Linked DNA regions of Anolis sagrei. The protein of the gene in region 1 interacts with the protein of each later gene in a pairwise test. Links are inferred from orthologs where the notes say so. Each region holds a gene or a part of one and is shown in the gene's direction. Other genes may lie near its edges.

Evidence for each region.
Region 2: the proteins of TNIK (region 1) and CLU interact in a two-hybrid assay, tested with the Homo sapiens proteins (2 studies listed by BioGRID and IntAct). The link is inferred for Anolis sagrei from reciprocal best matches to the Homo sapiens genes TNIK and CLU.
Region 3: the proteins of TNIK (region 1) and ACTG1 interact in a two-hybrid assay, tested with the Homo sapiens proteins (2 studies listed by BioGRID and IntAct). The link is inferred for Anolis sagrei from reciprocal best matches to the Homo sapiens genes TNIK and ACTG1.
Region 4: the proteins of TNIK (region 1) and PDE4DIP interact in a two-hybrid assay, tested with the Homo sapiens proteins (2 studies listed by BioGRID and IntAct). The link is inferred for Anolis sagrei from reciprocal best matches to the Homo sapiens genes TNIK and PDE4DIP.

Annotation. Positions count from the first base shown.
Region 1 is NC_090023.1:252,620,763-252,628,328, reverse strand, and holds the start of TNIK (TRAF2 and NCK-interacting protein kinase), read left to right. Parts: upstream 1-4,545; 5' UTR 4,546-5,232; coding exon 5,233-5,289; intron 5,290-7,566. UniProt on the Homo sapiens protein: Serine/threonine kinase that acts as an essential activator of the Wnt signaling pathway. Recruited to promoters of Wnt target genes and required to activate their expression. May act by phosphorylating TCF4/TCF7L2.
Region 2 is NC_090021.1:3,070,546-3,077,825, forward strand, and holds the start of CLU (clusterin), read left to right. Parts: upstream 1-4,264; 5' UTR 4,265-4,345; intron 4,346-7,280.
Region 3 is NC_090022.1:131,819,392-131,826,965, reverse strand, and holds the start of ACTG1 (actin, cytoplasmic 2), read left to right. Parts: upstream 1-4,554; 5' UTR 4,555-4,663; intron 4,664-6,146; exon of another isoform or gene 6,147-6,149; 5' UTR 6,150-6,157; coding exon 6,158-6,280; intron 6,281-6,400; coding exon 6,401-6,640; intron 6,641-6,900; coding exon 6,901-7,339; intron 7,340-7,505; coding exon 7,506-7,574. UniProt on the Homo sapiens protein: Actins are highly conserved proteins that are involved in various types of cell motility and are ubiquitously expressed in all eukaryotic cells.
Region 4 is NC_090024.1:132,332,665-132,340,002, forward strand, and holds the start of PDE4DIP (myomegalin), read left to right. Parts: upstream 1-4,320; 5' UTR 4,321-4,370; coding exon 4,371-4,558; intron 4,559-7,338. UniProt on the Homo sapiens protein: Functions as an anchor sequestering components of the cAMP-dependent pathway to Golgi and/or centrosomes.

The DNA of each region.
Region 1 (7,566 bases):
CTAAATAATGCAGTTTGACACCACTTTAATAGCCATGGCTCAATCCTATGAGATCAAGGGAATTGTAGTTTTACAATGTCTTTAACATCCTTTGCCACAGAGCACTGGTGCCTCACCAAAATACAGATCTTAGGATTCCATGGCATTGAGCTTTGGACAGCAAAAGCAAGGTCAAACTGTATTAAATATGCAGGGCAGATGCACCCCAAGACTCCAGGTTGAAATGTATAGTATTCCAGACATCTTGTTCATTTCCGATTTCAGAAACCCTAAGGGACCCTAAGGGAGCCTCCAGTGGCACAGCGGGTAAACTTGCTGACTGAAAGGTCAGCTATTCAAATCTGGGAGTGGGGTGAGCTCCTGCTGTTAGGCCCAGCTTCTGCCAACCTTGCTGTTCGTAAAAATGCAAATGTGAAGATACCGCTTTGGTGGGAAGGTAACAACATTCAATGCAGTCATGCCAGCCACATGACCTTGGAGGCATCTATGGACAACACTGGCTCTTCAGCTTAGAAATGGAGATGAGCACCACCCTCCAGAGTCGGACATGACTAGACTTAATGTTAAAAGGAAACCTTTACCTTTACCTTTAAGGGAGCCTATCACAAAGTTTTCTGGGCACTTTTTTCAAAGGACATTTACCTTTGCCACGCTCTGGATATGACTTTCCCAAGGTTTCCAAGATGAAGTGGGGATTCGAACCCAAGTCTCCAAAATCCTAATCAAACACTTGAACCAGTACATGACACTGGCCCTTTAACTGTTTTTAAAAGTGCTGGAACAATATCCATGCTTGCAGGACAAATTGTGACTCAGGAATTAACCCTCTGGAAAAGTGAAAACTTGATGAAGCAAGAGTGCTTCTGGACATGCATGGCCTTCAACATCAGCCTACACACCCCAGAGTTTACTAGAAAGGCCCCGAGCTCCTTGGAGTGGTGTTTTCAAGGAAACCCCTGCCAATCTTTTTTTTTTCAGAAACAAACTTTGAATACATTTCATCAAAGACAGAAAAAAATCAGGTGCCTCGATTATTTTATATTTTACTGCTCCTGCTAGCAGGAGGAATGCAGTTGTTTTTAATCTCACGTGTCATTGGGTGAAACAGAAAGCCCTTTTCTTTCTCCATCTGCAGTTAGACCGAAGGGAGGAATTTTGGTCACGCGTTTGACAACGGCTGCTTTTAAGGGGCCTGATTTGAATTCATACTGTTGGCATTAAATCCGAATTTATGATTCAAACAGGGAAAGGTCAGTTTGCAGAGCTCGCTATTGGATAAATTCAAAAGAAACTGCAGGGCTGGGATTAATGAAACTGAGCACAGTTTCCCTCTTTCTGATTTTGATTTTGAATTGAGAGGTTTTATTTCCCTCCCTTTCTTAAGGCATTCAGCACCAGCTCTCTCCTTTAAGGGAAAATATCTGGTGCAATCTACAGCCCATTCCAATGCTTTTACTCCAAAGGAGGCCTTATTAAATGCAATGGAAATTGCTCAGGAGTAAGGGTTACAACTGTAGCTAATGCATTTGTATTAACTCAGGGTGCATCTACACTAGGCATGTGCAAACTTGGGCCCTCCAAGTGTTTTGGACTTCAACTCCCACAATTCCTAACAGCCTCAGGCCCTTTTCTTTCCCCCCTCAACCACTTAAGGGCCCAAAGCTGTTAGGAATTGTGGGAATTGAAGTCCAAAACACCTGGAGGGCCCAAGTTTGCTCATGCCTGATCTACATTGTAGAGTTAATGCAGTTTGACATCCCTTTTACTGCCAAGACTCAGTGCTGTTGAATAACATGAGTTATAGTTTTATAAGGTCTTTAACCTTCTCTGTCTGGGAGTGTTAGTACCTCATCAAACTACAAATCCCATGGTTTCATAACATTGAGCCATGGCAATTAAAGGGGTATCAAACTGCATAATTCTGCATCTTCATATCCAAGCCCCATTGATCTCCAGTGGACAACCCCAATAAAGTATCATCTAAAGGTGCCTCCAAACTGTAGAGTTAATACAGTTTGTCATCACTTTAACTTCCATGGCTCAAAACTATGGAATCATGGAAGTCGTAGTTTTACCAAATCTTTACCCAGTTATGCCAAAGAGTGCTGATGCTTCCCCAAACTACAACTCCCAGGATTTCATAGCATTGAAACCTAGCAGTTACAGTAGTGTTGCCAGGCCCGTAGCCAGGATTTCGTTTCGGGGGGGGGGGGGGCTAAAAAATTTTCAGGGGGGGTTTTGGGGGGGGTGAGTTTCGGGGGGGGGGCTGAGTCTGAGTGAAAGAGGGTCTAGCCTAGCAAACCTTTTGTATCATTACCCCAATACCCCCATGCATATGGGATATATTGAGTATGGTGATCAGATCATGATATGAATAAACATAACAGTTTAATTAATGCACCAGTAAGGCCTTTTCGCGAACCACCATGAGAATTTCGGGGGGGGGGGCTGAAGCCCCCCCCCCCCCCCCCGGCTACATGCCTGCGTGTTGCCCTGCCTTAATTCTACAGTGCAGATGGATCCTAAGTGTGGGTTTTGTAATTCTGACGAAATCATAGAGTTGAAAGAGACCCTCAAGGACAATGCAGTTGCCATTAAAGAACACCCAATCAAAGCAGGCCAGATATTATTACCCTTATTGCTATAAATCCTTATTATGACAATGCTCCTTCAGTCTGAGAGGGCATTCTTCACTGTAGACATAAAGAGGTTTGGCCCCACTTTAACTGCCAGGGGTCCATGCAAAAGGCCATCACTCTTAGGCCCCTTTTACACGGCCATATAAAATCCAGATTATCTGCTTTGAACTGGATTATATGGCAGTGTGGACGCATAGAATGAAAATGTTTCCCATTTGGGGGTGGTGCTCATCTCATTTTCTAGGCCGAAGAGCCGGTGTTGTCCATAGATGCCTCCAAGATCATGTGGTCAGCATGACTGCATGAAGCGTTGCTACCTTCCTGCTGAAGCAGTACTTATTAATCTACTCACATTTGCATGTTTTTGAACTGCTAGGTTGGCAGAAGTTGGGGCTAACAGCAGGCGCTCACCTCACTCCCCAGATTCGAACTTCCACCCTTTTGGTCAGCAAGTTCATTAGCTCAGTGGTTTAACCCACTGCGCCACTAGGGACTCCTGTGGACTCATATAATCCAGTTCAAATCATATAATGTGGATGATCTTGTAGAAGGGGCCCCGAGACAGAAAAGGCTCGATACAGAAAAGGCTCGAAACTGCCAGGATTCCATAGCACTGAGAACAGTTAAGGTGGTGTGAAAGGTATTAGTCCTAAATCAGGCATGGGCAAACTGCGGCTCTCCAGGTGTTTTGGACTTCAACTCCTGCAATTCCTGACAGCTGGAATTCTGGAGTTGAAGTCCAAAACATCTGAAGGGTTAGAAAAGACCTTCCAGAAACACACAATCAAAGCAGACATTGTTATTATTACAAATCCTTGTTGTGACACTTGTTCTTCCTTCTAAATGTATTTGTACTTGGCCTTGACATAATCACCATCATAATGAGTGGATTGAGTATGCTTTTGGACACAAGCTGTAATGCAGCGTTTCTCATCAAGTATTCAAGCCAAGTTTGGTCCAGATCCAGCATTGCTTGAGTCCACAGTGCTGTCTGGATGTAGGTAAACTACAATTCCCAAACTCAAGATCAATATCCACCAAACCTTTCCGGCATTTTCTGTTGGTCATGGGAATTCTGTGTGCCAAACTGGGTTCAATTTCATCGTTGTTGGAGTTCAGAATGCTCTTTGATTGTAGGTGAACCATAAATCCCAGCAACTACAACTCCCAAATGAGAAAATCAATCCTCCCCAAGCCCACCAGGATTCAAATTTGGGCGCATTGGGTACTTGTGAATGAAAACACATTTTGCATATCAGATATTTACATGATGATTCATAACTGATAGGAGTTGTAGTTTTGGGAAGTGCTGATGCTTCCCAAAACTACAACTCCCAGGATTCCATAGCATCGAGACCTGGCAATTACAGTAGTGTTGCCCTGCAATAATTCTACAGTGCAGATCGAGCCTAAGTATGTGGGTTTGTGGTCATCTCCATTTCTAAACCAAAGAGCCGGCGTTGTCTGTAGGCACCTCTAAGGTCATGTAGCCGGCATGACTGCTTGGAGCACCATTACCTTCCTACTGGTGCAGTTCCTATTGATCTACTCACATTTGCATGTTTTCGAACTGCTAGGTTGGCAGAACCCTTCATAACAGCAGCAAAATTACAGTTATGAAGTAGCAACAAAAATAATGTTATGGTTGGGGGTCACCACAACGTGAGGAACTGTATTAAGGGGTTAGGAAGGTTCTGGCCTTGAGATAATAATCATTATCCTACTGAGTGGATAGAGTGTGCTTTTGGACACAAGCTGTAATGCCTGGGTGTGTTTGTGTTGTAGTGGCCAAGCCCACCGCCACACAACGCTATTGCTTGGCTCTCTTTTCCCCCTCCCCTCCCCCTCCCCAGAGAAGCGGAGGAGGCGCCGCCCCTCCCTGGTCCCCCTCCCCTCCCTCTCTCCCTCCCAGGAAGCCTCCTCTTCCTCCTCCTCCTCTTCCTCCTCGGTGACAGCTTTCTCTGCCTCTCCATCCGAGCGAGTGGAGGAGGCGAGGTGCGCCGGGACCGCACCGGGAATCGCCTCGTTATCTTCACCGGGAGGGAGAGGAGCGGGGAAACCGAGGCAGCCTCCCCACCCGGGCCAGGAGAAGCCAGCCATGCCCTCCTGAAAAGCAGACCCTCCCGAGCAGAGGCACCTTCCCTTCTCCGCCTTTGCACGCCTCTTCTTTCCCCGAGAGCGGCGCGTAAAAGTGCCCGGGCGCACTCGCCTTCGCCTCTCGTCCAAGGCGCCGGAGCTCCTGCTTCTCCTCTCGCTTTCGCTGCCCTTTCCTGGGGGACGCTGGTCGGAGGACGTGAGCGTTGAAGGAAGGAAGGAAGGAAGGAAGAAGGAAGAAGGAGGAGAGGAGGAAGGAGGAGAGGGAAAGGGTGCCGCTCCTCTCCATTGGCAGCAGCAGCAGCAGTAGAAGCGCAAGCAGGGCGCATGAGAGGGAGAGGCTGGAGGTCTCCATACAGGGACCCTCTCTTCCCACCCAGCCGAAGACGGAGGGCTTGCTGAGCTTGTGGGGCAGCAGGAGAGGCCGGAGCCCGAAGCCAGCGCCGTGGGTTTCTTCCCTGGGGCCGTTTTTCCTCGGTGGAGGAGCCCCCCACTCAACATGGCGAGTGATTCTCCAGCGCGGAGCTTGGACGAGATCGATCTCTCCGCCTTGAGGGTAAGAAGCAGGGGGGGGGGGGGCTTGGGAGGGTGTGTGTGTGTGTGTGTGAGTGTGTGGCAGAGGAGCCCACCCAGCCTCGCTGCCCCCTCCCCCCACAACAGATGTCCCCTTTCCTCCCATCCATCCAGCCTTTCCCTTTCCTCCCTTGCCATCCCAGAACTTCCCAGATGGGCACAAACTGCTCCTCTTGATAACAGCAGGGTTGTTTTTGTTATTGACAGAAAGCCTTCCCTCCTGGAAGATGTGTGGGTGTTCCTGTTCTGAATGGAGGTGGAGAGCTGTCTAGAACCCGCTGGTGATAATCAATAGTATGGGGAAAGGGCAAGAAGAGGGATCAACCAAGCACAGCTGGGAAACAGCATCTATCTCTCATCACACTAGAGAATGAATCCTCTTTAAATCCGGTTGCTGCCTCCTGCAGAATTCTGGGGTTTGTAGTATAGCGAGGCTGTTAAAGTCTCCTCCTTAAACTACAAACCCCAGAATTCTGCAGGAGGCAGAAACCAGATTTTAAGTGGATCCATTCTCTAGTGTGATGAGGTCTCTAAGACTTCATCACACTAGAGATTGAATGTCACTCCTTGTTGTTATCCCTTAATGTTTCATGTCTTCCCTCATATATGATATGAAAGGAGAGGGATTGAAGGCACATTTAAATTAAAGGTGTTTTGGATATGGTTTTGGTCACCTCTCGCCTATTCTGCTGCTTCCTGCAGAATTCTGGGGTTTGCAGTTTAGTGAGGCTGTTAAAGTCTCCTCCTTAAACTACAAACCCCAGAATTCTGCAAGAGGCAGAAACCGGATTTTAAGTGGATTCATTCTCTAGTGTGATGAGGTCTCGAAGAACTCATCACATTACAGCATGAATGTCGCTCTTTGTTGTTACCCCTTAATGGTGCATTTCCTCCCTCATATAAGATATGAAAGGAGAGAGATGGAAGGTGCATTTAAATGCAAGGTGTTTTGAGATGGTCTTGGTCACCTCTCGCCCATTCTGCTGCCTCCTGCAGAATTCTGGGGTTTGTAGTTTAGTGAGGCTGTCAAAGGCTCCTCCTTAAACTACAAACCCCAGAATCCTGCAGAAGGTAGCAACTGAATTTAAAGTGAATTCATTCTCTCGTGTGGTGAGGTCTAGATTGCTCCTTGTTGTTACTCCTTAATAGTGCATTTCCTCACACATATATAATATGAAAGGGGAGAGATGGAAGGCACATTTAAATGCAGGGTGTATTGGAGATCGTCATGGTCACCTCTCACCCATTCTGCTGCTTCCTGCAGAATTTTGGGATTTGTAGTTCAGTGAGGCTGTGAAAGTCTCCTCCTTAAACTACAAATCCCAGAATTCTGCAGGAAGAAGCAACCAGATTTAAAGTGGATTCATTCTCTAGTGTGATGGGGTCTTAGCTCCTTATTGTTACCCCTTAATGGTGCATTTGTTCTCTCATATATAATTTGAAAGGAGAGAGATGGAAGGTACATTTAAATGAAAGGTGTTTTGGAGATGGTCTTGGTCACCTCTTGCCCATTTTGAAGGTTGCTTAATGTGTCTCTTCCAAATCTAATCTTTTTCCCTCCCCTTCTCCTTCAAAATCTACATTGCTGCTACAGTATTTGGGAAAGGAACACATACAATGTGTCCAGGCATCAAAAATAGAAGCAGTAAGGTAGATGAACCAACCCCACTGCTCTCTTGACTCTTTTCCCAGTCTCAGGCTCGTTTGATGATAATATAAACAATCCTCTCTGGCATATGTGGAAAGAAAGGCGGCATGGAAATGCCCATTGCACACCCTGATGTGCCGCTATTAAGACATGTCATGGGGATATGTCTTAATGGTCATGCGTCGCTGTTGTTGCTCCGTGTGCATGCATTTTGCAACCATCTGCTCTGATGCAAGCTAGCTAGGTTGCTATTCTCACAGTGTGTGAAAGCTAAAGACAGTGGTAGTGTCCATTTTGATGAAATAGGATCGAATGCACCTTTTTAATGAGCTCTTCCATTCCTCTTGAAGGAAGAGGATGTACCTCCTGGCTGTTTTAGCCATGTGACATGCTACATACATCACATTATGGGCTGGGGGAATGAACTGAATCAGTCTTGACACAGGCAGATCAGCCTGAGTAGATACTTTGTGTCTAATACTGATATAAAAATGACATGTGTGAGCAGGGCATTGTAGGAATATTAGATGTCTTCATGATGCCTCCTGTAAATAAATTGGGGCCATAAATGTGTTGTCCTCTATTGTTCTGCTTATTCTACCATTCATTTTC
Region 2 (7,280 bases), on another chromosome or scaffold:
GTCGAGCCCCCAAGCTCCCTCAATCAAGTTGATCTGAACCGCAGCAGGGAGTTCCGCAGTTCCAGGACATCTGATTGGGCCAACAATGATGGGACTGTGGCCACAGCAGTAGTTTCAACTAAAAATCACCGTCTGCTTTCCTTTGTAACAACAGTGTAATAATCCCCAATAAAAGTATCCTTCAACTGCAACTTTTTCTCCTCGTAGTGATACATTGTGTCTCTTTACTGCCTCTAACACTCTCTAACATGAACCTTTCCCTTTCCGAGCCGCAGATCATTGTTAGCTCAGCCGGGAAGCTCTTACAGAATCCTGGGGAGGCTGAAACTGCGTTCCTCTGAACCATGGATACGGAAACCCTTTGGGGCCCCGTATCCACGGGTCAACAGATCGACTCCACTGTTGGCTCACCCAAGATGCTCTTATAGCATCCCGGGAAGGCTGAAACTGCGTTCCTCTGAACCGTTGATACGGAAACCCTTTGGGCCCCCGTATCCGTGGGTCAACAGATCAACTCCACTGTTGGCTCACCCAGGATGCTCTTATAGCATCCCGGGAAGGCTGAAACTGCGTTCCTCTGAACCGTTGATACGGAAACCCTTTGGGCCCCCGTATCCGCGGGACAACAGATCGACTCCACTGTTGGCTCACCCAGGATGCTCTTACAGCATCTTGGGGAGGCTGAAACTGTGTTCCTCTGAACCATGGATACGGAAACCCTTTGGGCCTCCGTATCCGCAGGTCAACAGATCGACTCCACTGTTGGCTCACCCAGGATGCTCGTACAGCATCCCGGGGAGGCTGAAACTGCGTTCCTCTGAACCGTGGATATGGAAACCCTTTGGGGCCCCGTATCCGCGGTCAACGGACCGACTCCAAACCGATGCCATTTTCTCCTAGACTAATTTTGTGACTAACTGTTATCTCACTTTTTCATTATGGACCCCTGCATCTCATGTGTGTCCAGAAGCCTGACAACTCTGGGGAACCTGCTGACCTCTGCTTCGGCAGAGTCTCCTAAATTCATGTTCAACATCGGCTTCAGGCCCTTTCCTGAAGCTGGGAAGGGCCTGAGGCCAGGAATTGTGGGAGTTGAAGTCCAAAACACCTGGAGGGCCAAAGTTTGCCCATGCCTGGTATAAAGGTAACCTTTGTTACATGCAGCCTTGATCAAGGTCATGTTCATTGCACATTCAAAAACCACACCTGTGAGAACATCCTTCATGAGGTTTGCAACATCTAAGCGGATTAAGAGATTGGAAGGGAAGTTCAAACGTTTTGGGTTTGTTTACTCTGAAAAGGAGGAAAAGGTGAATCAAGGGACAGAGGTGCAGAAAAGTAAACACAAGGCCCAAAAGATAGGTCGTACAATGGAATGCATGCAGTTTGACACCACTTCAGCTGATCCTGGGAGTTGTAGTTCCACAAGGTCTTCGGGATTTCTAGTGTAGTGAGGCACCACTACTATTTGGCAGAGAAGCCGAAGACCTTGTGGAATTACAACTCCCAGGATAAGCTAAGGTGGTGCCAAACTGCATGCATTCCATTGTACGATCTACCTTTTGGGCCTGTGTCTCCATACTGAGGAATGTTGGGAGTTGTAGTTTGATGAGATGCTTAGAGCTCTGTAGGCCCATTCATGCTATACAAGGGGCCTGGGATTTCTAGTTTAGCAAGGCGCTACTACTATTTGGCAGGGAAATAAGACCCCTTGTATAGCATGAAAGGGTCCACAGAGCTCTAAGTATCTCATCGAACTACAACTCCCGACACTCCTCAGTATGGAGCCACAGCCACAGCTCCATATTGAGGAGTGTCGGGAGTTGTAGTTCGATGAGATACTTAGAGCTCTGTGGACCCTTTCACACAGAACTCCCATGACCAACAGAAAATACTGGAAGGGTTTGGTGGACACTGACCTTGAGTTTTGGGAGTTGTAGTTCACCTACATCCAGAGAGCACTGTGGACTCAAACAATGATGGATCTGGACCAAACTTGGCATGGATACTTAATATGCCCAAATATGAACACTGGTGGAGTTTGGGGAAAATAGAGCTGGACATTTGGGAGTTGTATTTGCTGGGATTGATCACCTACAATCAAAGATCATTCAGAACCCCATCAATGGTAGAATTGGCCCAAACTTGGCACACAGAACTCCCATGACCAACAGAAAATACTGAAAGGGTTTGGTGGGCACTGACCTTGAGTTTTGGAGTTGTAGTTCACCTACATCCAGAGAGCACTGTGGACTCAAACAATGATGGATCTGGACCAAACTTGGCACGGATACTTAATATGCCCAAATGTGAACACTGGTAGAGTTTGGGGAAAATAGAGCTTCACATTTGGGAGTTGTATTTGCTGGGATTGATAGTTCACCTACAATCAAAGAGCATCCTGAACCCCACCAACGGTAGAATTGGGCTAAACTTCCCACACAGAACCCCCAGGACCAATACGAAATTCTGTGTTTTCTGGTGGTCTTTGCCGACCCCTCTGACACCCCCTCGTACCCCCCCCCCTTCCAGGGGTCCCCACTCCCAGGTTGAGAAACGCTGACCTAGAGTCATAAGAACCAGACATCCTGAGGAGTGAGGTTGAATGGGCCTTAAGAAGCATTGCTAACAACAAGGCAGCAGGAGACGACGGGATCCCAGCTGAACTGTTTAAAATCTTAAAAGATGATGCTGTCAAGGTGATGCATGCCATTTGCCAGCAAATATGGAAAACACAAGAATGGCCATCAGACTGGAAAAAATCAACTTATATCCCCATACCAAAAAAGGGAAATGCGAAAGACTGCTCAAACTTCCGTACAGTGGCCCTTATTTCTCATGCCAGTAAGGTAATGCTCAAGATCCTGCAAGGAAGACTCCAGCAATACATGGAGCGAGAGTTGCCAGATGTTCAAGCTGGGATTAGAAAAGGCAGAGGAATGAGAGACCAGATTGCCAATATCCGGATGCTGGAGAATGGAGAAAGGCAGGGAGTTTCAGAAAAACATCTACTTCTGCTTCATTGACTATTCCAAAGCCTTTGACTGTGTGGATCATAATAAATTGTGGCAAGTTCTTGGTGGGATGGGCATACCAAGCCCCCTTGTCTCTCTCCTGAGGAATCTGTACAAGGACCAAGGAGCAACAGTCAGAACTGACCACGGAACAGGAGACGGGTTCAAGATTGGGAAAGGCGTCCGGCAAGGCTGCATACTCTCACCCAACCTCTGTAACTGGTATGCAGAACACATCATGCGAGGATGTGCGGGGCTTGATGAATGCAAGGCTGGGGTGAAAATTGCTGGAAGAAACATTAACAACCTCAGATATGCAGATGACACCACTCTGATGGCCGAAAGCGAGGAGGAGCTGAGGAGCCTTCTAATCAAGGTGGAAGAAGAAAGCGCAAAAGCCGGGTTGCAGCTAAACATCAAAAAAACCAAGATGATGGCAACAAGAATGATTGACAACTGGAAAATAGAGGGAGAAACCGTGGAGGCTGTGACAGACTTTGTATTTCTAGGTGCAAAGATGACTGCAGATGCAGACTGTGGCCAGGAAATCAGAAGACGCTTCCTTCTTGGGAGGAGAGCAATGTCCAGTCTCGATAAAATAGTAAAGAGTAGAGACATCAGACTGGCAACCAAGATCCATTGCCTAGTCCAAGCCATGGTATTCGCTGTAGTCACATCTACGCATGTGAGAGCTGGACCTTCGGGAAGGCTGAGCGAAGGAAGAGAGATGCTTTTGAGCTGTGGTGTTGGAGGAAAGTGCTGAGAGTGCCTTGGACTGCGAGAAGATCCAACCAGTCCATCCTCCAGGAAATAAAGCCCGACTGCTCACTGGAAGGAAGGATACTAGAGACAAAGTTGAAGTACTTTGGCCACATCATGAGGAGACAGCAAAGCCTAGAGAAGACAATTATGCTGGGGAAAGTGGAAGGCAAAAGGAAGAGGGGCCAACCAAGGGCAAGATGGATGGATGGCATCCTTGAAGTGACTGGACTGACCTTGAGGGAGCTGGGGGTGGTAACGGCCGACAGGGAGCTCTGGCGTAGGCTGGTCCATGAGGTCACGAAGAGTCGGAGACGACTGAACGAATGAACAACAACAAAGAGTCATAAGGCTATGCTGTTTTCCCATTGGCGAGCGCTCCCTCTAGCGACCACTCTGGGTAGTGCGCCTTTTTGCGGATGGATTGAGAACTGGGGACCTGGATGGGGAAGGTGACGTCACAGCGGTGGGGGGGGGGGGGAGAAAAAGGAGGGAGGGGCTGTAGGATAAAAGGGCCGGAGTGCTGCTGCGCCATTCGGACAGTCCGAGGAGGGAAGAAGAGCCAAGGACAGGTAAGAAGGAGAGAGTGGGAGGGATTGCCTGAGGAAGGGGAGATGCAATGCACTGCAATGCAAGAGGGAAGGGATTACTTTTGCAAGGCTTGCAAAGTCCCCATCAAAAATATAAGCAAACACCATGTTAGTTTATCCCCCGGTCCATAAGAATGGGGTATGAGTCTGCAAAACACGCAAGTCAGCCCCCTTTTGGCCCATTCACACATGCATGCGTGCAAAAAGCGTGCAAGATGCGTGTTTGCGTTCTTTCCTGCTCCTGTGGTTGAGGAGGGAAGGAAAAAGAAAATAAACCCGCAAATTGACGCGCAGAGGGCGTCTCGTGTGAACGTGACATGGGGAACACGTGTCATCATGCGTGTTTGCAGATATTACATATTATGATTATTAGTTTGAACCCCGTTTTACTTTTTGGCTAGAGTTCTGTACTTATTTCCTCTTACAGAGCATCCTTTTTAAAGGGACCACAACTCCCAGCATGCTGGTTGGAGGATGATGGGACTTATGGGAGTTCCCAAGATCTGATTTATTTTGCAAATATTACATATTATGATTATTAGTTTGAACCCAGTTTCCCCTTTTGGCTCAAGTTCTGTGCCTATTCCCTACTATAGAGCATCTTTTTTAAAGGGACCACAACTCCCAGGATGCTGCTGGCAGGATGATGGGAGTTATAGTTTCTTCCAATTCCCAAAGCTGTGGTTTATTTTGCAAATACTACATATTATGATTATTAGTTTGAACCCCATTTTTTGGCTCAAGTTCTGTGCCTATTCCCTACTATAGAGCATCCTTTTTAAAGGGACCACAACTCCCAGTATGCTGCTTGCAGGCTGATGGGAGTTATAGTTTCTTCCAATTCCCAAACTCTGATTTATTTTGTGCCTATCCTATTTTGGACATTACATGCACCTTACATGGTCCCCTAACTATTGCAATATTTCGATTTTTATATTTTGATATATTATCATTATATGAATTTATATTGTATTGTTATTGCATTTATTATATTATAATATTATATTTGTTTACATACCACTTTCTTCTCTTCAGGCTGTGAACTATGCTAAAAACAATGCAGTATCCAATTTACATAGATCCTATTTTGTAATGTAATATTCTGATTTATTATACTGTATTTTAATACTATATTTATTACTAGCCGCCCCCTGCCACACGTTGTTGTGGATCTCATGGGGGTTCTGTGTGGAAGGTTTGGCCCAATTCTATAGTTGGTGGGATTCAGAATGCTCTTTGATTGTAGGTGAACTATAAATCCCAGCAACTACAACTCCTGAATGACAAGATTCTATTTTCCCCAAACTCTACCAGTGTTCACATTTGGGCATATTGAGTATTTGTGTAGAGTTTGGTCCAGATTCATCATTGTTTGAGTCCTCAGTGATCGCTGGATGTAGGTGAACTACAGCTCCAAAACCAAAGGACGTTGCCCACCAAACCCTTCCAGTATTTTCTGTTGGTCATGGGAGAACTGTGTGCCAAGTTTGGTTCAATTCCATCGTTGGTGGGGTTCAGAGTGCTCTTTGATTGTAGGTGAACTATAAATCCCAGTAACTACAATTCCCAAATGACGAAATCAATTTTTTTGAGTGAAGGACATACATTGGGTTGTTAGGTGCCTTGTGTCCAAATTTGGTGTCAATTCATCCAGTGGTTTTTGAGTTTTGTTAATCTCACAAATGAACATTACATTTTTATTTATATAGACTAGCCGTCCCCTGCTACGCTTTGCTGTGGCCCACTCTGTGTATATGTGTTTTGTGTGTTTGTGTATATGTGTTTTTGCATATATATATGGTTTTGCCCATGTGTTGTAATTTAATTTTTAGTTTTTTGGCTTTTTAAGTCTCTTCTGCTGTGTTTTTCAGTGTTTTTATGAGTGACAGTCATTCGTTGGTTTGATAGGCATATCGTGTCCAAATTTGGTGTCAATTTGTCCAGTGGTTTTTGAGTTATGTTAATCCCACAAACTAACAATACCTTTTTATTTATATAGACACTTATTTATATACTGCTTTCCTCTCTTAAAGCAGTAAACAGTGCTCAAAACAATGCAATATTTAATTTGCATGGATCCTATTTTGCATATTGCATCTCTCCTACATTGCATCCTCCCTTAAGTTTTTATTTAATGATTCCAATTAGTTAAAAGTAAAGGTTTCCCCTTGACATTAAGTCCAGTTGTGTCCAACTCGGGGACTCTGGTGCTCATCTCCATCTCTAAGTCAAAGACACCTCCAAGGTCATGTGGCCAGCATGACTGCATGGAGCACTGTTACCTTCCCGCCGGAGTGGTACCTATTGATCTCACATTTGCATGTTTTCAAACTGCTAGGTTGGCAGGAGCTGGAGCTAACAGCAGGAGCTCATCCTGCTCCCTGGATTTGAACTGCCGACCTTTTGGTCAGCAAGTTCAGCAGCTCAGCGGTTTAACCCACTGTGCCACCGAAGGCGCCTAACACCTCCCAAAAAAGAACCCCCCAGAAGCAACCAGCCAGTCTTTGAAGCTGCAAGGCCATTTAATGCTAAATTTTGCAGTTACCGTATCCTATTTTACACATTGCATATCTCCTGCCTTTTATTTACCCTGTCTTCTTTTTAAAATCTAATATTTGGATTTATTTGTGCATTAATCCTGTATTTTGAATTTATTTGTGCATTGATCCTCTATTTTGAATTTATTTGTGCCTTGATCCTCTATTTTGAATTTATTTGTGCCTTGATCATATATTTTGAATTTATTTGTGCCTTGATCCTCTATTTTGAATGTATTTGTGCATTGATCCTCTGTTTTGAATTTATTTTTGCATTGATCCTGTATTTTGAATTTATTTGTGCGTTGATCCTGTATTTTGAATTTATTTGTGCATTGATCCTCTATTTTGAATGTATTTGTGTATTGATCCTATGTTTT
Region 3 (7,574 bases), on another chromosome or scaffold:
GCATGCACACACACCATTGGAAAGACCTGGAGAACAAAGACGTAGGGGTTTGGAGCATTGTTCAGCTTTTCTTTCCCCCCACCCCTGCAGTAAAGAAACTAGAAACAAAACCTGCCTCATGAAGCGCACACGAGTTATGCTGCGCGTGCCATTTCCTCCTCCTGCAATGATGTGTCACTTCACAATTCAACATGGCATCTGTGGTTGGAAATGGAGGAAAGAGCAAGAAAAACAAGGGGTGTTGAAATCACAAAACGTTTCCAAACCGGGGAAGGAAGCAGGACCTGCTGACCTTGAAAGGGTTGCTGTTGGGTCTTCCTCCACTAGTTATGCTTTGAGTTTCGGTGGCCAGAAAGGAATTGGCTGTAAATGTTATATTGTCACTTGCGGGAGTGCCCTGCTTACTTCCTCAGTTTTATCTTCTCACCAAAGATAAGACTGTGTATTCCTGGCAAATAATTGGTGGCAAATGTATGGCAAAAATCCTGCTGAATTCTCAATTTTATGTTGCAGACAAATTCAGAAAGTCTTAAAACACGTGATATACACCATACTTCCTCTAAATGTTCTCAGTTTAAAAAAGTAAAAGCCCAGACTTAACATGATGAAAGCACTAATAGGGAGGGCAGAACATAAAGAACGAATACACAAGGGGTGGGGGGAAGGCTGTGCCCTATTCAAATATTCCCCGCCCTTCAAGGTTACTTGAAAGCCTATGATATGGTTGTTTGACACTTTGTACTGACATATTGGTACTGCCATATAAGGAAGGCAAATTGAAAGTGTCAGTGACTACATGTGTAAGAGTCAAAGTGCCTTGCATGGGTCAACAATAATAATCTTGGTCCCCTTCCACATGTGTTGTTTGCTTATGTAAAATTGGCATTTTAATCTGATCAGTGCCTATGATGATGAGGACGGAACTGGAAATGGGAGGGGTTTTTTTTTTTTTTGCATCTGTCTCCTGCCAATAGGTTTCCCATATGCACCCAATGGGCCACTATGAGAACAGAAAGCTGGACCAGATCCACCATGGCTTGGTTTATCTGCTTACGCAACCATTTCCCAAAATTGAAGGATTCCAAATAATCTTGCAAATATTCCCTTGGAGTGGAGCAGTCGATACCAAACGAATCATCCTTTTGTGATTCTATGATGTGTCTGATTTCCACTGATGCGCTGGTTGTTACTCATATTGCAGCCTTCTGCTATTGGTAGCTTAACTCTCAGTTGACTTGGCAGGCTGCTTCCCAAATTAGGAAGACGAGAGGGTTAGGCTTCCGTGGGAAGGAAGAGCTTAGTCACCTGCTCATAGGCGAGGCCTGGTTATTTTCCTAGGTGTGTGCAGTGAACAGGGATGGGCAGGGCCTGGCTGTTTTACCTGTGTTTGGATCTGGAGCTTACCCAAAAGAGGTGTCTCCCTCTTTCCTCTGAGCTTTGATACAGCTGATTGCTGTCAACAGCTAAGATGTCTGCTTAGGGGGGGAAATGAAATGAAAAGCAAAAGGCTGCATTTTTTTTTTTGGCTAACTGTATGGTAAGTCCAATTCCTGCCCCCCACTTCCATACAAGAAATAAGCAATTGAAGACAAAGTATGCTTCACTTCTAATTCAATGAAAAGCAGTTTCTATTGTTAGGAAGAACCCAGCAGGACAACAAATCATACATAGTGAGGTTTCCTGATGCTCTGCAGAACTTGAAAGAGACTTCACAGTCAAAGGCATGGCTACTCTTTTCATATCTTGAGCAGGCTTCCTCAATTTCCATACCTATCACTTTAAAAGGAGAGAAAACCTGGGGCAGCTTGGACCACATGGGTTGCCTGGGGTCAGTGGATTGTGCTCTGCTTCATTCAACAGAAACACCTTGTGCATCACTTTCTGATCTAAAGTTTCTTAAAGGCCTGAGGGGCATGGAGTCCCCCCTTACCTGAATAGTAACTGCATGGTCATCTTTGCAGACTGGATTACCAGTTTCCTTGGAACAGAGGGCTGAATCCTAGAGAGATATTTTGAGCCCAATCATGAAAAAAATGCTTCAAAGTAGCCTTCCCTAATATTGGCTAGGGAGGATGGGAATTGTAGTCCAATACTTGAAGAATATGTGGGGAAAGCTTCTATAAAGAACCCACTTCCTGGTTTGTATACAGTTTAATGCAGAGTTTCTCAAATTGTGCTCTTCCAGCTGTTTTGGACTTCAGCTCCCACAATTCCTAACAGCTGGTAAGTTGCCTAGGAGGTGAAGTCCCAAACACCTGGAGCAACACAGTTTGAGAAACATTGGTTTAATGTATTGTGCCCTAGGATATATCTACATTGTAGAACAAATTCAGTTTGACAGCACGCTAACTGCCATGGTTTAATGCTCTGGAATCATTGGAGCTCGAGTTTTACAAGGTCTTTAGCCAAGGAGTGTTGCACAAACCCCCTGAGTCAAGACAGTTAAAGCGATGTCAAACTGCATTCATTCTACAGTGTATGCACCCCACAGGCTATAGGCAGTGTTTTGTGAGACTAGTGCTTATCAAAGCTCTGTATAGCACATTGTTTGCTTTTTAAAATCACATTATGATTTAACGGCTTGTGAACCATTGAAATGGAGGGCATACTGATTTTCGTAATATTTGCTGGCTCCTGGGAGTGCAGTGATGTAAAAGTCATTATAACTCTCCTAGAAGTCCACTATAGCATTCCTGAATTGCAGCGTGTCAAGCGCGTCAGTATCTTTCCGTACAGAAAACACAATGCTGCTGTGACTATAGCAACATAATAGTCCTCTACCCTTCACTTAAGCAATGCAAGTCGAATGGAAAGGTGTGGCATTCAGCACTGCAGAGGCAGGCAGATCCAACATGGTGGTGGCACAGGTGAAAAAACATGGCAATGCAAGGACCATATAGGGCAATATTTCAACCCAGAACGCAAGGCGTGACAGCTCAAGGATAAAGGGGCATCCTCTCAGGAATGGGATGCAGGCCTTGGGTCTTTTCTTGGGATGGTGAAAGGCCGCCGGCTTCCCCTGGGGAGACTCAAGGCTGCAAATTACAGGTACTTCAGGAGAGAGACACCAAGTCTGCCTTATGATGTAGAAAGGCTAGTGCATTGATTCAACATTTCCTAGCAGGGCAGGGCTGTGGCACCCTGACTACAACCGCCATAATCCCTTGCTTCCTCCCATACTGTGTAGGGATTATGGGCACTGAGGTGCAAACCGGAGCCATATGTAAATATTTGCCCTATGTAACAACAAAGTATATCCACACTGTAGAATTAATGTGGTTTGATACCACTCCAAGGCTATGGATTCCTGGGTTCTGTAGTTTTCCAAGGTCTTTCACCTTCTCTGACAAAGAGCACCGGCGCCTCACCAAACGATGACTCCCATTATCCCATAGGATTGAGCCATGGCAGTTGTTGTAGGTTTTTTGGGCTACATGGCCATGTTCCAGAAACATTATCGCCTGCATGTATGGCGGGCATCCCCAGAGATTGTGAGGTCTCCCCCTCAACCACTCAACTTGTAGCCAGGCTTCATGCGTCTTGGCTACAAAATGGTGGCCATAGGGCACAGGCAAGCGACCTCCACCATAGGTGTTCCAGAAGCATTCTCTACTGACGTTTCGCCTGCATGTATGGTGGGAATTCTCAGAGATTGTGAGGTCTCCCGTTCAACTGCTCAACTTGTAGGCAGGCCTCATGCACCTTGGCTACAAAATGGTGGCCGTAGGGCAAAGGCAAGCAACCTCCACAATAGGAGACCTGAGAGTAGCCCTCAGAGGAGTCCACATAAACACACAGCCCAAGCATGTAGCCAGGGGAGGGGGGCGCTTGGGGAGCTTCAGCCCCCCCCCCCCCCCCGAAATTCTCATGGTGGTTCGCGAAAAGGCCTTACTGGTGCATTACTTAAACTGTTCTGTTTATTCATATCATGATCTGATCACCATGCTCAATATATCCCATATGCATGGGGGTATTGGGGTAAGGATACAAAAAGTTTGCTAGGGTAGACCAGACCCTCTTTCACTCAGACTCAGCCCCCCCCCCCCATCAAACTCAGCCCCCCCCCCAAATCAAAATTCTGGCTATGGGCCTGACACAGCCCTAGTCCCCATGTGAGAGTGTAGACATGTTCTCGACTGTATTTTGGGAGTGGGGGAGAGGCCTTCAAAATACTTTAAACAGTTCTTCCTCTGAGCATCAGGCAGGGCACTGTGGACACGCATACAGATACGGAGTGGCCTGTTCTGCTCCCCAGTCGCACAAGGTGGAGGATTCTTCTGGGTGGAAAGTCTTCTAGAGAAGCCACCCTAAGGGCGAGGACTGAGAGAGGGGCTCTGAGCCTGGCCTTGCCCACCCCCTCCTCCAGCTCGCCCTCGTTGCGCGCATCCAGGTTCCGGGGCTTCGGAGGAGGGGGGCGTGGCCGAGCCGCTTTCGCCTGCCCCACGTGGCCCGGCCCGGCCCAGCCAATGGGAGCGCATGTTTCTGAAAGATCTCCATATATGGCGATGTTCTCGGCCGGCCAGGCGGGGGCCGCCGCCCCCCTGGGTATAAAAGGGGCGGGGCTGGCGTTCGCTCGGTCTCACTCAGCCGGCGGCAGCGGATCTAGCACGATCGGCTCCTCTCTCTTGTCTCCTGACCTTTTGAAGCTTCCGCCTCCTTGCAGGTAGGTCACGTCCCCCTCCTCACGCCCCCCCCCCCACACCTTGCCTTTTTCTATTAATATTTTATATGCAGCTGTTACTGGTTTTGTCCAAAACGGATGCGAAAAGTATATACTTTATTTAAAAAATTCTAGATTGGACATGAGTGTGCCTGTAAAGATAGGAAGCGGTTTATGATTTAAAGAGCGTGGGCGTTAAGCCCCTTTCCCGCCGCCTCCTCGTCTCGAGCCGCTAACGGCTTCCGAGGGGCGCCTTGAAAAAGGGAAGGCGGTTTCCTCGCGGCCGGCTTGGCTCGCGCGAACCCCCCCTCCTCGCGAGCCCGCAACGGTTCTCGTGATTGGGCAGGGCCGAGGGCAGCTGGCGCCGGATTGGCCGGGCGAGGGCGCTGACGTCACTGGGCGGGAAAGGAGACCATTGTAAAATCTATTCGAAAAGGGAGGCAGTTCAGGGAGGGAGAGAGGGGGGGCAATGACACTACGGAGTGCATGCAGGTCGGCCCCCATTTTCACTGTAATGGTTCGATGCTGTGGGATCACGGGAGTATGGTTTTTAGTGGCGTTGTCGAGATGCGCGAATTCTGCAGTGTAGTCCACACATTGGCAAGCTTTGGCCCTCCAAGTGTTTCAGACTTCAACTCCTACCATTCCTAACAGCCTCAGGCCCTTTCCTTTCTTTCCTTTTCGCTTAAGCGGCTTAAGGGGGAAAGAAAAGGGCCTGAGGGTGTTAGGAATGGTGGGAGTTGAAGTCTGAAACACCAGGAGGGCCAAAGTTTGCCCATGCCTGGTCTAGACGTCTTGGTTTCAATCCAATCGGAGGGGGGTTGCAGCAAAGGGTGGGGGACGTTTTTAAGAGCCGAGTATTGGTTTTTTGCCCCCATCCTACCCTTTTCCTTCATTTAAATGTTTTCTAGGGGGCTGCTTGCTTAAAGTTCACTGGGCGGGGCTTGGTGGCATTTTGTCTAAAACTGGTCTTTTGTGTCCTGAGTGGATTCAAAGAAATTTCACTCTTGGATATGTGATGGTGTGTCATTCGTTTTTTTCTCCTTTGAGTTCTGGAGATTGGCATGTGTTGTGAGAAATGTGTCTCTTTTTCCTTTTGGTTTTGGCAGGGTGGGCCTTTTGCAGCTAAATTTTCAATAGCTAGGGCCAATAGCATAGCACATCGACAGCCATTTAGGCTTGATTTGTGGGGCTCTTAACTAAGACTAAAAGTTGAGCTACTAATTTTCAAGGTGTATATTGAAGGCAGAGAGAGAGGAGAATGTCTGCTGCCTGCTGATGGTCTGTGGAGGGAGGAAATGAATGAGTCTAGAAAAGCAGCCCAAGAGGGTGGGGTCCTCAGAATGGCTGGCAGGCTGCCAGAGCAGCCCCTAGTGGCCAGATGCTGCAGTGCCTGAGGAGCGAGCGGGGGAGGGAGTAGGGCACTATACCAGAATGTGAGGTGTGTTAAATGTTCCTTAATGATTTTTTCCCTCATTTTTAAAAGCAGATATAAAAATGGAAGAAGAAATTGCAGCACTTGTCATTGACAATGGATCTGGTATGTGCAAAGCAGGCTTCGCTGGAGATGATGCTCCTCGTGCTGTGTTCCCCTCAATTGTTGGGCGCCCTCGCCACCAGGTAAATAGCCGAGCAAGCAAGCTAGCTGATGAAGGGTTTTGTCTGTGTGGTTGAAGTTATAGGCTGTTTAACGCCTAAAAGCACAAGCTGAGCTTTTTTCTTTGCCTCCTCTTTCTATAGGGTGTCATGGTTGGTATGGGCCAGAAAGATAGCTATGTAGGAGATGAGGCTCAAAGTAAGAGAGGTATCCTGACCCTGAAGTACCCTATTGAACATGGCATTGTCACCAACTGGGATGACATGGAGAAAATCTGGCATCATACTTTCTACAACGAGCTCCGTGTTGCTCCAGAGGAACACCCTGTGCTGCTTACAGAAGCTCCATTGAATCCCAAAGCCAACAGAGAGAAGATGACACAGGTATGGTGTTGGCACTGCTGATTTTCTGTATGTTCACCCATTTCACCCACCCATTTTTCTTTCCAGTTACAGTGTCTCTTCTCTTACTTTTAGGGCTCTGTGCTGTCCTGGCATTTCCTTCTTGAAGTCTCAGGTTTCTGTTGTATTTCTGCCTGTTTTTCTTTTGGTTTCCAACTCCATCTGATACTTTGCATGCCTGCATGGGTGTGTGTCCTTGGGGGAGTGCCTCCTTATTGACAGCTTTCTGTTTCCTCCTTCAGATCATGTTTGAGACATTCAACACTCCCGCCATGTATGTGGCCATTCAGGCTGTGCTGTCTCTGTATGCCTCTGGCCGTACCACCGGCATTGTAATGGACTCTGGAGATGGTGTGACACACACTGTGCCCATCTATGAGGGGTATGCCCTTCCCCACGCCATCCTGCGACTGGATCTGGCTGGCCGTGACCTTACAGACTACCTCATGAAGATCCTGACAGAAAGGGGCTACAGCTTCACCACCACAGCCGAAAGGGAAATTGTGCGTGACATCAAGGAGAAGCTGTGCTACGTTGCCTTGGACTTCGAGCAGGAGATGGCCACAGCTGCTTCCTCTTCCTCTTTGGAGAAGAGCTACGAGTTGCCTGATGGCCAGGTGATCACCATTGGAAATGAGAGGTTTAGGTGTCCAGAAGCCCTCTTCCAGCCCTCTTTCTTAGGTAAGCATGCCATTGTATCCAGAAGAAATTATTAGCAAGCTCTGAGGGAGTGTGTTTACTTGTATGCTTACAATGGATTGTGCAGTAAATAATGAATCTACTCCTAATAAAGTGATTGGGCAGCATCTTTACAGATCTTTCCCTTTTTTCCTCTCTCTCCTCTTAGGTATGGAGTCTTGTGGCATTCATGAGACTACTTTCAACTCCATCATGAAGTGTGATGTAGATATCAGGA
Region 4 (7,338 bases), on another chromosome or scaffold:
GAAATCTCACATTATTTGCTTTGAACTGGAATATATTTATTTATTTATTTACGGTATTTATAGCTCCCTTTTTTAGCCATACTGCGACTCAAGGTGGGTTACAGATTAGCACAATTCGATGTCAGGCATTCATAAAAGTGCAATTAAAAACAATCAACATTACAATATAAAACATAAATAAAAACTGTTAAAGCATATAATCATCGGTGTTGTCTTGGTAAAAACCTTCACATCGTCTGGCTGTTCCATGTTCATCATTCATAGTTCTGTGTTATCTATTCCGCTGCATTCTCAAAAGCTTGCTCAAAGAGCCAGGTCTTTACTTTTTTTGGAAAGCCAGGAGGGAGGAGGCCGATCTAATATCCCTGAGGAGGGAGTTCCGTACCCAGGGGGCCACCACTAAGAAGGCCCTGCCATTCGTTTCTGCCAATCGCACTTGTGTGGCAGGCGGAATCGAGAGCAGGGCCTCCCCAGACGATCTTAAGCTCCTAGATGGTTCGTAGGAGGAGATACATTCGGATGGGTAAGCTGGGCCAGAATTGTTTAGGGCTTTATGGGCTAAAGCCAGCACTTTGAATATATATGGCAGTGTGGGCTCAGATAACCCAATTCAAAGCAGATATTGTGAGATTTTCTGCCTTGATATTCTGGGTTTTATAGCTGGAAGGACCCAGAGTCCATTGTGATTCTTGCTCATTTTGAAGCTGTTCTTTTTTATGTACTATTTCGAGATTATCGACAAATGATTGTTGTATGCCACTTTGCATGCACTTCATATATAAAGATTTGGTATAAATTCAAACATCCTTGTTTGGATATGTGACAAGATCACAAGTACACAGATCAGAGAGGGACAATGTGCCAATTTGCATCGCCCAAAGGATGTCCTTTTGCCATTCTCTAGGTATTTCTCTGTTTTCCTCTTTAATCTCATTGGACTTCCCTTATCCTTGAACTGTTGCTATATTGAGGAATATATCTTCCATATGAAAGAAATTGCAGACCCAAGGAAAAAGGTATGAATCTGAAAACTGTGGCAAATTTTGATTAGAAGTCAGAAGCCAAGTCCTGGTGTCTTTCATGACAGTCCTTGCCACTAGGTGGCTGTCAAGAAGTAACTGAGAACAAGAAGGAGACTTTAAGGAGGCTGAAGATGCACCTTTAATAGGTTTTAACTGCCATGAATACTTTTTATGCAATCCTGGGATTTGTAATTTGGGGAAGCACGAGATTCTGGTAGAGAATTCTAAATACTGGTATTTGCTGGGGTTTGGTTCCAGGGCCTGCCATGGATCCTAAAAGCAATGGATGCTCAAGTCCCATATAATGCATAATCAAATGACATGTTGTTATATAAAATGGCAAAAGTAATGTGTTTTTGAGATGTGGGGTATTCTAAAGTCATGGAAGTTTAATCTGTGGGTCCAGAGTCCATGGACACAGAGAGCTGACCATATCTCAGTAAAGATTTTCCCCTGACATTAAGTCCAGTGTTGTCCAACTCTGAAGTGTTAGTGCTCATCTCCATTTCTAAGCTGAACAGCTGACATTGTCCATAGACACCGCCAAGCTCATGTGGCCAGCGTGACTGCATGGAGCGCTGTTACCTTCCCACCAGAGCAGTACCTATAGCTCTTCTCACATTTGCATGTTTGGGGCTTTATAGGTGAAAGCCAGCACTTTGAATTGTGCCTGGTAGCAAACTGGCAGCCAGTGGAGCTGGTGTAACTTGGGAGTTGTATGCTCCCTGTATGCCACCCCAGTTTCTCGTTGGACTATTTGAAGTTTCCGAGCAGTCTTCAAAGGCAACCCCACGTAGAGTGCATTGCAGTAGTCTATCCTGGATGTACCGAGAGCGTGGACCACCGTGGCAAAGTCTGACTTCCCATGGTACGGGCACAGCTGGCGCACAAGTTTTAATTGTGCAAATGCTCCCTTGGCCACCGGGGTTGCCTTTGAAGACTGCTCGGAAACTTCAAATAGTGCGAACGCTCCCTTGGCCACCGCTGCAACCTGGGATTCCAGGCTCAGTGATGAGCCCAGGAGGACCCCCAAGCTGCGAACCTGTGCCTTCAAGGGGAGTGTAACCCCATCCAGCACAGGTTGCGACCCTATACCCTGCTCTGAATAGCAATTGTGGGAATTGAAGTCCAAAACACCTGGAGGGACAAAGTTTGCCAATGTCTGGTCTATACTGTCATATAATCCAGTTTCAAATCTGATAATCTGGATTTTATCTGGCAGTGTAGAAGTGGACTAACTAAGAGATGCTTAGGTGGGGCATGGCCCAATATAAATAAACTAGCTGCCCCCTGCCACGCGTTGCTGTGGCCCAGTCTGTTGATCTGGAAAATAAAGTAATGAGAAAGTGTTAATTTCTAATATATGTATTTTCTTTATGCTTGTTGGGTAAACAGTATTTCTTGCTGTTTCTTTGTCAGTGTTGATGCGGAGAGTGTTTGGTTTGCCCACCCTTGAACATGCACCATATCATTGTCCTTCTTTAAGGGTCCCTTTCAAATCTATGATACTCTATCTGTGTGCGTGTGTGTGAATCATATCTATCTATCTATATCTATCTATGGCTGGATGGCTCTTTGTCAGGAGGACTTTGATTACGTTTTCTTGCCCTGATGAAGGGAGTTGGATTGGATGGCCTTAAGTATTTTCTGATGGTCATGGGGGTTCTGTGTGGTATGTTTGCCCCAATTCTGTTGTTCGTGGGGTTCAGATTGCTCTTTGATTGTAGGTGAACTGTGAATCCCAGTGACTACAACTCCCAAATGTCAAGGTCTATTTCCCCCAAACTCAATCTGTGTTCATATTTGGGCGAATTGAGTGCTTGTGCCAAGTTTGGTCCAGATCCATCATTGTTTGAGTCCACAGTGCTCTCTGGATGTAGGTAAACTACAGCTCCCAAACTCAAGGTCAATGTCCACCAAACCCTTACAATATTTTCTGTTGGTTGTGGGAGTTCTGTGTGCCAAGTTTGGTTCAATTCCATTGTTGATGGAGTTCAGAATGCTCTTTGATTGTAGGTGAACTATAAATCCAACAACTACAACTCCCAAATGACAAAATCATAATTTTTTTAATGATGGTCACTCCTTGTGTTGTGAGATATTTTGTTACCAAATTTGGTGTGATTTCGTTCATTGGTTCTTTTGTTTTTAACACACAGAGCATTTATATATATATATATATATATATATATATATATATACTAGCTGTCCCCTGCCACGCGTTGCTGTGGCCCAGTCTGGTGATCTGGAAAATAAAGTAATGGTTTCTTATCTATGTAATTTCTTTATGCTTGTGGGTAAACAGTATTTCTTGTTGTTTCTTTGTCAGTGTTGATATGGAGAGTGTCTGGTTTGCTTATTCTGGAACATGCAACATATAATTGTCCTTCTTTAAGGGTCCCTTTCAAATCTATGATACTCTATCTCTGTGTGTGAATCATATCTATCTATGGCTGGATGACTCTTTGTCAGGAGGACTTTGATTACGTTTTCTTGCCCTGATGAAGGGAGTTGGATTGGATGACCTTAAGTATTTTCTGATGGTCATGGGGGTTCTGTGTGGGAAGTTTGCCCCAATTCTGTCATTCGTGGGGTTCAGAATTCTCCCTGATTATAGGTGAACTAAAAATCCCAGTAACTACAAGTCCCAAATGTCAAGGTCTATTTCCCCCAAACTCCATCTGTATTTATATTTGGGCATATTGAGTATTTGTGCCAAGTTTGGTCCAGATCCATCATTGTTTGAGTCCACAGTGCTCTCCAGATGTAGGTGAACTACAACTCCCAAACTCAAGGTCAATGCCCACCAAACCCTTCTAGTGTTTTCTATTGGTCAGGGGAGTCCTGAGTGCCAAATTTGGTCCTATTCCATCACTGGTGGGGTTCAGAATGCTCTTTGATTATAGGTGAACTATAAATCCCAGCAACTACAACTCCCAAATGACAAAAGCAAATTTTTGAGTGAAGGACATACATTGGGTTGTTAGGTATCCTGTGTCCAAATTTGGTGTCAATTCATCCAGTGGTTTTTGAGTTATGTTAACCCCACAAACGAACATTACATTTTTATTTACATATAGATAGATAGATAGCTAGATAGCTAGATAGCTAGATAGCTAGATAGCTAGATAGATAGATAGATAGATAGAGATTGGGAACCACTAATACAGAGGCCTAGAATGCATTTGGGGCTGCATTCTGTGAGTGAGGCTGGCGGCCACCTCAGAGGTCACCCGGGCCTGTCTGGGGCGCCTCTCCTGCCTGGCGCTGGCCCCGCCCCTCCCGACCTCCCAAAGGCGCGGTGACGCCGCCAAGGATGCTGCTGGGCGGCGGCGGAGGAGAAGGAAGATGCAGGCGGCGAAGCGGAGGGAGACGGGGGCCCCCGGAGGACCATCGGCGCCCCCCGGAGAAGGCAAGCCTTCCCGGCGCATTGGGCGAGGGGCCCCCGGGCGCAGGCCCCCCGCACGGAGCGGTCCCCGAAGCAAGATCGCCCCTCCGGCCTCCCTTCCCAGCCCCGGACTCAGGAGCCTCAGGAGGTGAGAGGCTTGGGAGGGGAAGGAGAAGGGGGCGGGGGCCACCCTGGCCTGCTTGGGAAGGACTGACATCACCCTGCCTGAGACCATCGCCTTAGAATAACATCTCTATCCTCTGACTTGGATTCTGAGCCCATGCATTTCCCTCACTGTCATATTATCATCCAATTCCAGAATATAGCTTTACTGCATCCAACTGGATTATATCCATCGGATTCAATCTCAGGCCCCTTCCACACAGCTGAATGAAACCCCACATTATCTGCTTTGAATTGGGATATACGGTAGCATGGACTCAGCCCAGTTCAAAGCAGATATTGTGGGATTTTCTGCCTTGATATTCTAGGTTATATGGCCTAGGAAGGGCCCTCAAGGTGCTTTAAATCAGTCAACACTGCCCTACAATCCAGATCTATCCCCATTCTGAAACTGGATCATGGGGCAATGTCAGCCCCCATCCGTACTACAAAATAAAATCCGGATAATCTGTGTTGAACTGGATTATATGGTAATGTAGACTCCTATAATCCAGTTCAAAGCAGATCATGTTTTAGGGCCTTGGTACAGTCCGTGTTATAGGGCAATGTCAGTCCCCATCCGCACTGCAAAATAAAATCCAGGTTATCTGCTTTGAACTGGATTATAGGACAGTGTAGACTCTTATAATCCAGATCAAAGCAGATCATGTTTTAGGGCCTTAGTAAAATCTATTTTATGGGACAGTGTCATCCCCCATCCACACTGCAATATAAATTCCAGATTATCTGCTTTGAACTGGGTTATATGGCAATGTAGACTCTTATAATCCAATTCAAAGCAGATCATGTTTTAGGTCTTAGTAAAATCTATTTTATGGGGCAGTGTCATCCCCCATCCACACTGCAATATAAAATCCAGATTATCTGCTTTGAACTGGATTATATGGCAATGTAGACTCCTATAATCCAGTTCAAAGCAGATCATACTTTAGGATCTTAGTACAATCTGTTTTATAGGGCAATGTCATCCCCTATCCAGAGGCGGCCCTAGGTAATTTTCAACGGTAAGCAAACTGTATTTTGGCACACTCCCCCTCCCCCCCCCCCCCCCAAACCAATCACTGATATATATTTTCTGTTCGTCGTGGGAGTTCTGTGTGCCATATTTGCTTCAATTCCATCATTGGTGGAGTTCAGAATGCTCTTTGATTGTAGGTGAACTATACATCCCAGTAACTACAACTTGCATATGTCAAGGTCTATTTCCCCCCCAAGAGCGCCCCTGGGCAAAATCAACTATACTGCAAATGCTTACAATGGGTTGAGCAGCCCCTGCCTCTATCCGCACTGCAAAATAAAATCCAGATTATCTGCTTCAAACTGGATAATAGAGCAGTGTAGACTCCTATAATCCAGCTCAAAGCAGTGGACTCAAACAATGCACATATGGAGTATTCATGCCAAGTCTGGTCCAGATCCATCATTGTTTGAGTCCACAGTGCTGTCTGGATGTAGGTGAACTACAATTCCCAAACTCAAGGTCAATGCTTACCAAACTCTTCTAGTGTTTTCTGTTGGTCATGAGAGTCCTGTGTAACATGTTTGGTTCAATTCCATTATTGGTGGAGTTCAGAATGCTCTTTGATTGTAAGTAAACTATAAATCCCAGCAACTAGAACTCCCAAATGACAAAATCAATTTTTTTGAGTGATGGTCACTCCTTGGGTTAGTAGGTGTTTTGCGGCCAAATTTGACGGCAATTTGTCCAGTGGTTTTTGAGTTATGTTAATCCCACAAACGAACATTACATTTTTATTTATATACTAGCTGTCCCCTACCATGTGTTGCTGTGGCCCAGTCTGGTGATCTGGAAAATAAAGTAATGAGAAAGTGTTGGCTTCTAATATATGTAATGTCTTTCTGCTTGTCGGTAAACAGTATTTCTTGCTGTTTCTTTGCCAGTGTTGATGTGGAGAGTGTCTGGTTTGCCTACTCTGGAACAGGCAACATATCATTGTCCTTCTTTAGAGGCCCCTTTCAAATCTTTGATACTGCATCTGTCATATACATATATGTGTGTCTGTGAATGGCTGGATGGCTCTTTGTCAGGAGGGCTTTGATTGTGTTTTCTTGCCCTGGTGAAGGGAGTCCAATCCATGTTATGGGGCAATTTCTCCACCTGGGAAGTCAAGACCCCTGGGGGACACTGGGGGGAGGGGTCAGAAGGGTCACCAAAGACTACCAGAAAGCACATTATTTTGTGTTGGTCGTGAGGGTTCTGTTCCCCAATTCTGTCATTGGTGGGGTTCAGAATGCTCCTTGATTGTAGGAGAACTATAAATCCCAGTAACTACAACTCCCAAATGTCAAGGTCTATTTCCCTCAAAGAGAGAGAGAGAAAAGAGAGAGAGAGAAAGGGAGGGAGAAATCCATCCCTAGGAAAGGAAATTCACTCCTGAAAGAGTTATCACCAAGAAAGGTGTCTCCACTGAAGCCTGATCACCAATCCTTGTTTCTACCACAAGCCACATTTTTTCAAAATCCAATGATCACAGCGACAGAAACTTCTGAAAAGGGGCACAGACAGCAAAACAAACACCATTGGGGTGTTAACCCTTCTAATGCTGTCCAAAGCTGAAAGAGATATACGTATTTTGGACTGGAGTGACGCTTAGGAATGTACCTGTTCTGACAAATTCAACTTAAGAACAAACCTACAGAACCTGTCTTGTTTGTAGCTTGAGGACTGCCTATATTGCAAAGTAGCTTATAAAACTCTGTAGGGAATCCTGAAGAGGTCCAATC